3 linked regions of the Schizosaccharomyces pombe genome follow. The gene in region 1 interacts genetically with each later gene. Each region holds a gene or a part of one and is shown on either strand. Other genes may lie near its edges.

The links. Genes that interact genetically often act in the same process or in processes that back each other up.
Region 2: mutations in tim13 (region 1) and cph1 together harm fitness more than expected from each alone (negative genetic interaction), as found in Schizosaccharomyces pombe (2 studies listed by BioGRID).
Region 3: mutations in tim13 (region 1) and reb1 together harm fitness more than expected from each alone (negative genetic interaction), as found in Schizosaccharomyces pombe (2 studies listed by BioGRID).

The regions. Positions count from the first base shown.
Region 1 is NC_003424.3:4,482,266-4,486,545, forward strand, and holds tim13 (TIM22 inner membrane protein import complex subunit Tim13), read left to right. Parts: upstream 1-1,725; 5' UTR 1,726-1,812; coding exon 1,813-1,929; intron 1,930-1,987; coding exon 1,988-2,056; intron 2,057-2,099; coding exon 2,100-2,201; 3' UTR 2,202-2,392; downstream 2,393-4,280. Other genes in the region: G-protein-coupled receptor Stm1, read right to left, coding at 1-510; endodeoxyribonuclease Pnu1, read right to left, coding at 2,570-3,009, 3,085-3,331, 3,448-3,729. UniProt on the Schizosaccharomyces pombe protein: Mitochondrial intermembrane chaperone that participates in the import and insertion of some multi-pass transmembrane proteins into the mitochondrial inner membrane.
Region 2 is NC_003424.3:797,594-801,481, forward strand, and holds cph1 (Clr6 histone deacetylase-associated PHD protein-1 Cph1), read left to right. Parts: upstream 1-1,773; 5' UTR 1,774-1,956; coding exon 1,957-3,171; 3' UTR 3,172-3,388; downstream 3,389-3,888. Other genes in the region: CCR4-Not complex subunit Mot2, read right to left, coding at 1-636, 725-904, 955-1,007; ATP-dependent RNA helicase Upf1, read right to left, coding at 3,717-3,888.
Region 3 is NC_003423.3:191,252-195,536, reverse strand, and holds reb1 (RNA polymerase I transcription termination factor/ RNA polymerase II transcription factor Reb1), read left to right. Parts: upstream 1-1,927; 5' UTR 1,928-1,994; coding exon 1,995-2,971; exon of another isoform or gene 2,972-3,012; coding exon 3,013-3,339; intron 3,340-3,390; coding exon 3,391-3,601; 3' UTR 3,602-3,785; downstream 3,786-4,285. Other genes in the region: ubiquitin ligase Mfr1, read right to left, coding at 1-692, 739-859; asparagine--tRNA (Asn) ligase Slm5, read left to right, coding at 3,861-4,048, 4,123-4,249.

The DNA.
Region 1 (4,280 bases):
ACTCTTGTCAGAAGAGGCACTAGAAATAATTAAGTTTCCAACGATTGTCGAGACAATAACCACACATCCCATTACACCAAATTGTTGACGGGTAGAAAGGCGATCCCACCAAATTTGTTGTTTACCAATGGGTGCATGAAGACCTTCTTCTAATGAACGACTTTGGAGTAAGGGTTCGTGTTCACGACTGGCAATACGACGGGCAGCTTTCCAACGATAGTAGTAAATTTGCATAAGTAGGGTACTGTCAGAGACAATGTAATAAAATGAGAGAACCAATACAGTAGAAGAGACATTTCCGTAAATGGAACCAAGTACATTGAAGAAATCGCCAATAAGCCAGATGATTAAAAATAAATCAGAGATACTTTCACCAGACTGGTTTTTATAATTTTCAAGTAATTGAGGGATCAGTAAAACGACCCAACATCCCAGGGATAATGCTCCTAAAAATGAAGACAACTCCGTGAGTATGTTAGCCATATCAAAAGAAGGAGCTATCACAGACATGGGACAAAAATGCTTGCGAACAGATAATTTTAAAATGAATTTGAGAAGAGCTTGTCTAAGCTTTTTATGGTCAAAGTTTTTTATATGAGTGTGGAGGACAATAAATAAAAAGAACGGGAAACAAAGGGCTACAAAAGCGAAGCAACCTGAAAGGGAAATCAAACTATTAATTTAATAGGAATGATAAGCAATTATTAAAATTTGTCAACTTCCTCGAACGTGTAATGCTTCAGCACTATAATATTCGCTGATTTATTTTAGCGATCCAAGAGATGATACTTAATGAAAATTCGTTACAAGTATTTTTTTTTGTTTTAAAAAATAAACACTAAAAGGAATATCTATAATAATAATAATAACAATGGTAAACAATATTTCTCCCACTGTAAAGAAACAGAAGAGATTTGGTGGTGAGTTTGGCTCTGGATAAGATCAACCTCCCAGCCGTCCTGTTATTTATTTACCTCGGGCAAGGCTATATAGAGATTTCAAGATAAGAAAAATTTGCCGCCCATGCAGTTTCGCAGAATTAAGAAAGTGTCCGTGGATTTACAGATACAATTGATAGTCAATCCAAAGGTATCATTCTAAAGAAATATAAAGGAATAGTAAGCGAAATAGATTTTCCTTCGAATAATCCTATTTCACTTAACAATATAATTCTCAATGTAAATAACAGTCGCATTAATTTTATCAATGTCAAGCTAACTCGTTTTTGTTATAAAATTTAATACACCATAATATCGCTAGCAGTATTAAACATTGAAATGTTTACGTGACTTGTTTGATTCTCAGATTATTTGCAGTAAAAGATGTGCTAATTCCATGATTTAATTTCGAGACTATAAAACTCTATAAAAATTTCTTACAAATTGGGATTTTTATTTTTTTTTCTAAACAAGGGTAATGAAAAGTCATGAACGATTCATTTCGTATATTAAAATATTAAAAATAATAATAATAAAAAAACGCTGAAAAAACTTTTATTTCTAAACTCACCAAAAGGACCCGAATAGTATATCTATCCATTAGTTTAGAAATATTTTATTAAATCTTTTTTTTTTATACCAAGTAGAAAACAAAACAAAGATTGCTGTCTGGTTGTATCGCATATGTCAGCATATTAGAAAATCCATTTTCTATTAACGAAGTCTAATTGGTGATGATGGCCGGTTTCTGAATTAGTCTCCCTAAGTACACCGTTTGGTACTTTCCACGAACGTACCATTTCCTCATTAATTTTCCTTGTAAAGGAGTAAAAATTATCCACATTCATAAGTTTTAACGTTATACTTAAACAAAATGGGCATTTTCGGTGGAAATAGTGGAAATGCACCTTCTTCTGAAGACAAAAAATCCATTTTCATGAAACAAATTCGTCAGGAACTTGCTGTTGCTCAAGCTGGCGAATTGATAAGTGTATGCTCCATTCATTTTTTATGTTTTATTGAATGTTTTAACTAATCGGTTTATCTAGAAAATCAATGAGAACTGTTTTGATAAATGTATCCCGGAGCCTGGTTCCACATTCGATCCCAATGAAAAGGTATGAGAACTATTAAAATACTTTTATTCTAACTAGACAAAAGTCTTGCGTTTCCAAATGTATGGAACGCTATATGGATGCTTGGAACATTGTTTCTCGAACCTATATCTCTCGTATGCAACGAGAGCAGAAAAATCTCAACTGAATAATAATGATTTTTTTTTCTATCATTTTGTTTTACTCTCCTATGATATGTGTCTTGTTGTATAGTTGTGAAGTGACGGCAAAGCTTAATATGCAACGTAGAAATTTTTCTTTTCAACGTAGCTCACGCGCTTTCTCTCTAATAATTATAAACTTTCAGCAATTAAAATTCGTTTCATGTTCTTTTCCTAATCATGCTAAACACTTACAAGTGTTGTTATACTACTGGGTAAAATACTTATAATTGTTTCTTTGACATGTAGCATTTAAGTATTATTGTGTAAATAACAGTTTAAATATTTTCATAATAAAGAACGATCACCGGAAAAACTAGAAAAACTAGAGATTCATTAAATTTCCTTATTCTTATCATTTACCTTGATTCTTTTGTTTTTGTTTAACTGATTCAACAAACTCCTTAACATTTAACTGACACACCACTTCACTGCAAAGTTGTTTTCGGTTACCCTTGGGTACGTTTGATAAGATCTCTAATCCGCTTGCTCGTTCCACAACCTCAACGGGAACTGCAAAGTTCTTTAACGGAAAGTTGTCAGCAATAGGTTTGTTGGGAAGAACGAATGCAGCTACTGATGGACTTGAGGTAGGCTCTCCTGATTTTTCTGCAATGATTACTTTAAAAAAATGAGTAGGAACTGCGACGTTGGGAGGATTGCCAATTACTCGATACTGAACTTCCCATTGTCCACGTTCATTTTTTTTAGGTAAATACAGCGGTCCCGTCATTATGGTAACTGAGCCGTATTTACTTGTAAGGCGTCGACACCAATCTTCAAAGTATGCCCAATCTAATTGTTATAGTTAGTAACTAGTCAAATTTATTAATGTATTAAAAGAAAAAGTCTCGTTAAGTTTTTGCTTACAGTTTCTATTGAAACCATCTCCCACTTGTGGACACATATTAGAAAGATAGAAAGTTTCGTTCATTGCTTCCTGACTAAATTTACAATCTGCTGCAGGTACTTGATGACCACGATCATAACCGCTTCCTCTGTAATCTCCTAACTTTGCTTGAAACATTTCAGGAATATTATCATCTGGAACGAACTCAGAGTACCTGCGATTGCCTTTGCGTTGGTTCAACGATTCTTGTGTAATGGTTTCCGCTGTCTAGTTTATTATTAATATAATGCACTCCGAGAGACCAGAAATTTAAACATTTAATCTATTGCCGTGATCTATAATTCCTAGGTAAAGAAAGCTTAGGAAACGGTGTTTTTGCTTACATAGAATGGATTTCGTGTTCTCCGATCGAACACAGACATATAGCCATGGTTTACCCTTTGGTCTGCCACTGGTCCTGGTATGCCGTATTGAAAAAATTTGGTGGCATTAAAATCATATATAGATTCTAAGGCTCGACCAGCAGAGTCAAATTTGGTATACCTGGGTGTCAAGTCTGGTACATCGGATCCTTGATATCCTTTATAATAAAAATGCGTGAAAGTTACACCCGAGATCGCTCCAATTGCTATTAATCCAAAAGATTTGATAAGATTACTAGACATATCGTCGATTGGGAATTAAAAGAAGTGGGAGTGTAGGTAAAGAGAAGATTGGAATATTCACTGCGTGTGAGTTTTTAAATAATTGGGAGTTATCGTTATGGCCAAGAAGAATATTAAAAATATATTGTTAAACATTAATTTTACGAGGTTTCTGAAGTAAGAAAAATTTAACTCTTTACGATTAATAATACAACATTAAATATAAAAGTCAATTAAGTGATTCATTTGTGGATGTTTAGAATGTATAATTCCAAATTCACGCTTATTATCAAGAAAAAGTGTTAGTAAATCTATTAATTTTAAAAATATATAATTCCAATTTTAGGAAACAACAGTATGTTAAAAAAAAAACGACTTTTTGACAGGGACTATTAATTTAAGAAAAACATCTACAGAGATCTAAGATTTCATCTACTGACAAAACATTTTGTTTATGGAACCAACACAACATGAAAATGACCTTGTATTTCCATTTCATCTGTGCTAAATCAAGCTTAAAAACAGAATCGCTTTTCTTATTCGAGTTGGAACCTTTGTTTTTTTATGGCACA
Region 2 (3,888 bases), 3.7 Mb from region 1:
TGATTTTGTGCAGCTGGACTACTATTAGCCTCTTCTAACGGTGTTTTCGTAACAGGAAGTAGAGGTGTTTTGAATGGAAGAGAAGGAGAAGGAGAATGAGTAGCACCATTTACCACATTAGGTTTAGTGGAAAGAGGACGGGTATGTTGAAGAGATGCCAAGTCTTCTTTAGTATAACTATCCACCTCGTCACCGGGTTCATGTAAATACATGCAAGAAGGATTGGGGCATTGCTGATTCCGTAAATAAGAAGTGCAATATTTAGTGGTACCATAAGATGCGCGAAGATGTCGCCCATCACTTACGCTGCCATCAATTGCAGCAATCGCTCGTGCAGCATCTTCTTTTCTTTGGTATGTAATATAAACTCCAACATGACCATTTGCAGAATTTGCAGCAGCCTTCTTATTTATTGCAATTTTAATAATCTTTCCGTATTGACCAAAGTATTCAGGTCCCTTCAGAACGTTGATATTCTCCTCATTTGCAACTTTGGGAGAAAGGCCGTTTACATAGGCAAGGTTCTTTTGTACAACACGAATATTTGCAAGATGCTTCCTGTTTGAAAGCTCGACTTCCTTCCTCTCTTTCTCGCGTTTCTTCCTCTCGTTTTTTCGATGTAAGTCCATCTTCCATCTAAAAACATTAGCGACATGTTTAAAAATAAAAGTGAATTTAAACAAGATTATGCTTAAACAAGAATTCTATAATCTGAATTACATACTCCTCTGCCGTGACAGGCCGCCATTGAACATTTTCTTCAGTGTACAGACGGCGACATGCAGGACAACGGCCATTTAGATCTTCTTTGATATGGTGCCAGCAAAATCTACAAACTCTGTATCCGCATTGGCATGGTTTGAAGTTTTTATCAGAGATATCAATTTCTTCCATACATAGAGGACTGTTGCAATTGTCAGTTAATTTTGATACTAATCGGCTAGTAAAACATACCAACACATGTCATCCTCATCTTCTGAAGAATATATCTCTTGCGTTTTTAACATTTTGTGTGAAATATGTCAAATCTCCGTCACAGTGCTCTCCAAATCGATACTGTTTAAGGTCGCTCGTTATACAATACAGAGGAAGTCTTCAAATATCTTAAATCAAATCTTTGATTTTAATTTAATTTAGTTAATTCCCTTAATATTCATTAGACTTCAAACAAATATTTTTTAAAGGGCAAACCGAGTTGTGGTTGGTTATAAGTTTACTTACAACTTAGTGTAAAAGAAGGAGGCAATGACTAGGTGAGAGGTTGGATTTGAACAGTATATACCACACGAAAAATAGCAATTAATAGACATGAATTAAGAAATTTGAGAAAATTCTTATTCCAAAGGTTTTTGGAATTGTGTTTGAACAACAAAAAGTACCCTTAAAAGTTTCACCGTCTATAATTTCATCTTGATAATTAATTGCAGTAAACGTTTGTAAACGAATGTATTATATATACAACTTTTTCACGTTGTGGTCAAATTCTTTAGTTATTTCATCTTCTAAGTAATTAGTGAATATATTGAATTGACGAAAAAACGATGAACAACATAATAAGAGGCATAAAGTGCTTCTCTACTTAATTTACGCTCCATGTTCCATCAAATGGATAATAGTTTTTAACAAAATGTTCAAATATTTTACATATAGAAGGGAATTTATTCTTATGATAATCATTTATACTAAATGCTCCTCTCGAAAATCAGATATCTTTAAGTAGTTTTCTAAGTCTAATTGCAACGACGTTTGGCGTTCAAAGACTTGTTGTAACTTAGCATCTTCATAACAGCGTTGCTTCACTATAATATACTTACAACCTCGACCATTGTTCTTTTTTACGATAACCATTAATTTTACCTTTAATATTCCTTAAAACATTAAGGATAGTATTGATATTTCTAAGTGCTAACCGTCGCGTATTACATGTTGCTTTGCTCATAGCATGGGAAGTATCTAATGGCATCCTCTATAAACAATTCATCTCAACCTACAGTACCTTCAATTTCTAATAATAGTCATGGCGACTCTTTCGTAAATGAAGGTCCCCCTTCTAATTTTAAAAATAATTCTTTAACATCATCAACTCACTCTTCAACTGACCATGTAAATGTCTTGCCAATTAGCCAAGACAAAGAGATGGATATAAGTTCTCCAGTGAAAAAACAAAAAGCTAGTTATTCGAATAAATCTCCAAATAAAGCACCTATTCAAAAAAGCCGGGGTAGTTCCCTAAAAAGTCATCTCGAAACCGAATCTCAACAAACTCCTGTAAAGCGACGGAGACGAAAAGCGACTATACGCAACGTCGACTATTGTAGTGCATGCGGAGGAAGAGGTCTTTTTATTTGTTGCGAGGGATGTCCTTGCAGTTTCCATCTTTCATGCTTGGAACCTCCCTTGACTCCTGAAAATATTCCAGAAGGATCTTGGTTTTGTGTGACTTGCTCAATCAAATCGCATCACCCTCCTAAGCACCCTCTTAGTATATGGTCCCAGCTTTACGATTGGATTGATTCTCAGAATCCCTCGCAGTACCGATTGCCCGACGACCTTGTGCATTATTTCCATGGAATATCTCGTGGGGATACAGGTGCTTATAAGGAAACTGAAGGAGAAATGGATACTGACGAGTTTTCTGCTTTGCCGACTGGCTCCTCTATCACTAATCTAGCTTACTGTGGTTATTGCTCTAAGCCATCAATGGGTGCTTGTTGGGTCTATGGTTGCCAGCTGTGTGACACCTTCTATCATAAAAATTGTAAAGAGCATGCTAAAAAATGCTCTCATGACTCCATTGGAAAAAAAGGTATGAGAGTACCAAAAAACGCCGTGGTGATAAGGACGCCCTTGGTGTTGGATACAACTTCTAATACTCTTAATCCTAAAGTCATGATTTCAGGATGGCAATTTCTTATGGGAGAGTTTCCAAGTGATGAACTTCTCTATTTCCCAAGATTACCCGTGAGTTGTCTCTACAAAGTTTCAGAAGACGGTCTCATCAAAGATTTTTTGTACGCGATTGGCATAGAAGCTAAAAAGTTTAATAATGAAAGGAAAAAACGAGAGTTAGAGGTTATTCCTCCAGACGTAAAAAGCGCACTACTTCCTGCGAGAACGCACCCAAACCTACCTATTGCACTACGCACTTTATTCAATAAGGCACGCACTTGAATTTTTACGATATTTTTACATTTTGTATAAAATCAGACTACGTTAATCTAATCTGTCGTGTTCAAATCGTCAGAAAAGGTTGTTTTCTGTTATTTTTTTGCTAATGTTGTATTTATAAAACCTCTTAGAACTGGCTATCTGTTGTAATTGGCTTATTTTACATTACTTTTCTCCATTAAGGCTTTTAAAAAATTTTCGTTATGCAATTAATCATTGCAAATCCTTCCTAATAGGGCAAAAGTTCTATTTTATACTAACAACTTCTCAATACTTAAATTTTATACGCGTATTGTACCGTGTGAGTATATATAAGTATATATAAGTATATATAAGTATATATGAGTAAGATGCATTTACTAGACAAAGAGGAATAAAATAAAAGAAAGTGATAAGGAAAGGTTCTATTACTAAAGTCTATTTAACAGCCATATCAATGGTTTAAAACGCTTACAGACCAAACGGTCCATAAAACTTGAACACCAAAAATATCAACAAATAAAAGATATGTTGGCATTCGTAATTACAAGTAAGCAAATACTTATTAACTAGAACCTAGTAGGTTCGTCGAACTTGCTTTCATCATCACCAACCTGACTTCTAAAGTCTTCAAAGTCGGTAGCGTTGCTTTCTCTTCGTTTGTATTGAGCAAAGACATTCCATTCTTCAAGATACGAGGAAGAGTATAAGTTCGGAAGATTAGAAAACGAAGGTAACATG
Region 3 (4,285 bases), on another chromosome or scaffold:
ATTGTCATTCCCTCCTGAAGCAAGCTGTCCTAGACTTCTATCCCATTGCAATCCGCATATTTCTTGTTCATGAACTTTCATCATTTCGGCACAGCAACCTGGTGCTCTTAGGTCATGATGTAAAATTACTTCGTCTTTGCCTCCACTTGTGAGGGTATTATCGTTCCATGCTAATGCTGCCACCCTTTCGGAGTGACCTTTTAAAGATCTGACTGATTTCGTAGACTCGATATCCCAGATGTAAATTACTCCTGAATCTGTCCCTACAGCTAATTGAGTTCCTTTACCTGTCCATAAGACGCTTGTGACATGATTTGTTGCTCCGAAATCATGTAATTGAACCACTTTACCACTTGCTGCTGACCAGAGATAAATGCTGCTTGCTAGTCCGACTGCCAAGACATTAGATTGGCCCCAGTCAAGCAAGTTTAAATAAAAGTCATTTTTTAAGTAAGGTGCATCCAAGATTTTATATGGAGTTTTTGGAAAAGCTCTTTTGGGCTTTTGTGGTTGCCGCAACATATCTTGAGATTGCGGTGAAATAGGAGATAGAGAATATGATTTTCTATCAGGTGTATCCAACATTTTCTTCTCAATTTTCCTTTTGTCTTCTCCATAATAGAAGGCTCTAGAGCGAGATGCTTGTGAACCGAAGAGCTCCATGCTTAGTAGCTCCATGAATTGCCTTTGAACTGCTGTCGTTAGTAATGGGAATATAAAACTAAAAAAGGTACATACTAGTGCCAGAGGTTTTGCGCCTAAGATTTGATCCATGGCTTAACACACATTCTTTGAATGACTGGAAACTAAAGTTGAACTCATTGCTAACGTTGCGAATGGGAATGAATCGGTCTCCCATTGTCAACCAATTCTTTATAAGTTGAAGTTAGTCGGGATGGAAGGGAAATGTTGAGATTCCTATTTCGTGAATAAATACCTTCCATGCTTTATTTGTTTTTACTGAGTGCTTTTTTCTGCCCGTCTGCAAGACATTGCTACAGAATTATGAAACCAGGTGGCTTGAAAAAATGCTAATTATGAGCTATAATGACTGCAGTAAACAAACATTTGCTAAATACTCTGTATAACTGCTAAAAATAAAGCTATCCTGTGATCGCCGTATTACCTAATGCTACCGTTTAAACTAAACAAATGCACTCATCAAAACAAACTGTTGATAAAAAATATCTCAATAACAATATTATAGTCATCAACCAGCAAAAGGTGATGTTATGGTAAGAGAACTCCTAAAATATGATGTTCATAGAAAAACAACAACAATGATCAGTTGACCACGATGTGCCAAACCCATTGTTTTCTGAATGTTTATTATGATCATCAGATCCCGGTCTTGTAAACTTATTGCCAAGAACCCAATTTCTTCAAAATGTTCAATTAATTAAACATTTATTTTAGTTGTTTTGTAACAGAGTAAATAGTGCTATAGATTCGTTCAAAAAAATTCCAACTACTATCGAATGCAAATACTTTTTACCATGTATGTGAGTACAAAAAAAATTTTCTCCTCATTCTCATTTCAATTGATTTATTCCTAACTATTTCTGTATTTCTTTTGGGATATTCATTTTTAAAGACAAATCTTCGTATGCTACTAATTTTTCCAATTAAATACTATTGGTATATTTCTGCATTTCTTGTTTATTTGATTAATAGTACAATTTCATATTTTAGGACGATAATAAATATGAGTTTTTTTGTACTAAGTGGTAAGCAAAAACAACATTTTTTGTATATCATTAATGTTTTCGTTGTACTACTTAGCATTGCCTATAAGGAAATGCAGCGTGTCGATATATCCCTTAATAACAAACCATCTTTATTTCAGATTTACACTCCTCAGTTTGTGTCCCACCCTTCCTAAATCGCTGTGCTAGCAAACTGCGAATTAAAGCTCACGAAGCGTTTTGTACGATATTAGCGATTGATAAGTTGAAGTGATTACTCAATTATAGTACTTCAAAAATATAATCTTTATGGATACCTCCGTATTAAATCCGGAACTTCAGATTCATGGATTTATTGGCGTGGATTCTTTGCAATCATCAAGGAAACGAAAGAATGATTTTGATGATTTTCCACTTAACAAAGGATTGAAAACAAATAACAATGACTATTCTGGATCAATAGAGCCTAAGTTTTCTCCCGCGTTAAGCATTAAAGAAGATGGTAAAAATGATCGCAATTTCGAGGCCTTAATGTCTCTTCAAGCCCAAGACTCCAACCTTTCTGAACAAAATACATCCATTCATTTGGATGCTTTAGCCTCCTCTTCTATAGCTTTAGGAAATGATAATGTGGATTCGAGCGCCTTCTTGTCAAAAGTTAACAAAGGTGTGAATGCCATGAGAAACTCTACTTCGAATCAAACAAATGATTCTATTTTAATAAGCCCTTCGGAAATTACCAATATGGATCCATTTTTGAAAGGTAGTGCTAGATGGACTGCGGAACATTGGGACTATTTAGAACGACGAATGCAAAACTTCTGTCAAACCTATTCATTAGACCATACACAGGTAGCCGATTCTCTACACGAAAAAAGACTTCACGGGCCACTCTCTTCTTTAGTTAAATTATTGGTTCAAGAAATGCCTAGTTTTACCAGAAGAACAATATTACGGCACCTCCGGGCCCTTTACAACATCCCAGGTTATGAGAAATATAGTAGAAAAAATTCTTCTGGAAGAGGGGATTTCGGGGTCCAGGAAACTGCCATTATTTCCCAAGAAGTACATAATTTTATTATGGATCAAGGATGGTCCGAGTATCAATTTTGCAATCAAATTTGGGCAGGAAAATGTCCAAAAACAATCAGAATGTTTTACTCTAATTTATATAAAAAGCTTTCCCATCGTGATGCCAAGAGTATTTATCACCATGTACGACGTGCATATAACCCGTTTGAAGATCGCTGTGTGTGGAGCAAAGAAGAAGATGAAGAATTAAGAAAGTATGTGTTTATATTTTTATTCAAAAATCATTAACGTTTAGAAATGTTGTTGAACATGGTAAATGCTGGACGAAAATTGGTCGTAAAATGGCTCGAATGCCTAATGATTGTCGTGATCGTTGGCGCGACGTAGTACGTTTTGGCGATAAATTGAAACGAAATGCTTGGTCGTTGGAAGAGGAAACTCAGTTATTGCAAATAGTTGCTGAACTCCGTAACCGTGAAGACTTAAGTTCTGACATTAATTGGACGCTTGTTGCCCAAATGTTAGGTACTAGGACTCGTTTACAGTGTCGTTATAAATTTCAGCAATTGACGAAGGCTGCTTCAAAATTTGAACTTCAAGAAAACGTTTGGCTCTTAGAAAGGTAAGTATTGACCTACATAATTTCTCTTGCTTGCTAATATTTTAATTTAAGGATTTACGACTCGTTATTGAACAATGGTGGTAAAATTCATTGGGAAAATATCGTAAAAGAAGCTAATGGACGATGGACACGCGATCAGATGTTGTTTCAATTTATAAATTTGAAAAAAATGATACCAAGTTACGACAATCTTCCTCTTCTAGAAGCCACGAAGTCAGCCATTGATGACTTTAAAGTGGTACTTTCTGGATTCTCCAATTGACGTCCTTACAATTTTTTGAACGAAAAAATTTGTTTTAACTTACTTAAGTAACTTTGTATCTTTTTACAAGTCCTTATTAAAATGACTTAATTCTTAACGCAACACCTTCATACTGAGGATATGTAAAGTCGCCTTACTACTACCGCTCTTTGCATTTCTAGTTATTGGCGAATAGTTTTTGGAAGAATTCATAATTTCCTTAGCAATAGAGGATTTTTTGTAAATTAATAATTAAAATTGAATTGTTTGCTAATTCCGTATGAATAAATTCCAACTACCAAAAACTTTAAAGTCTTTATGGCATCACCCACATAATGGAGAGTTAATAAGCATAAACGGCTGGGTACGATCTATCCGAAAACTAAAAAATGTTTGTTTTGCCATGGTTTCTGATGGTACATGTCAACAAGCCCTTCAAGTGGTGACTTCGCCTGAACAGAGTAAGAAGTATGGTTGAGGAGGAGACATAAAATCTAAATTATATGATATCTTTTTCCTACTAACATTAATTTATTATCAAGGCTATCATATGGTGCTAGTGTGAATATTGAAGGCCAGTTGGCAGTTTCTAAAAACGCAAAACTTGGATTGCAGCAGTATGAACTGTTGGCTGAGAAAATAAAAATTTACGGCCAGATAAATGATGATGTATGTGCTTTCAAAATTGAATATACTGCAAGTCTA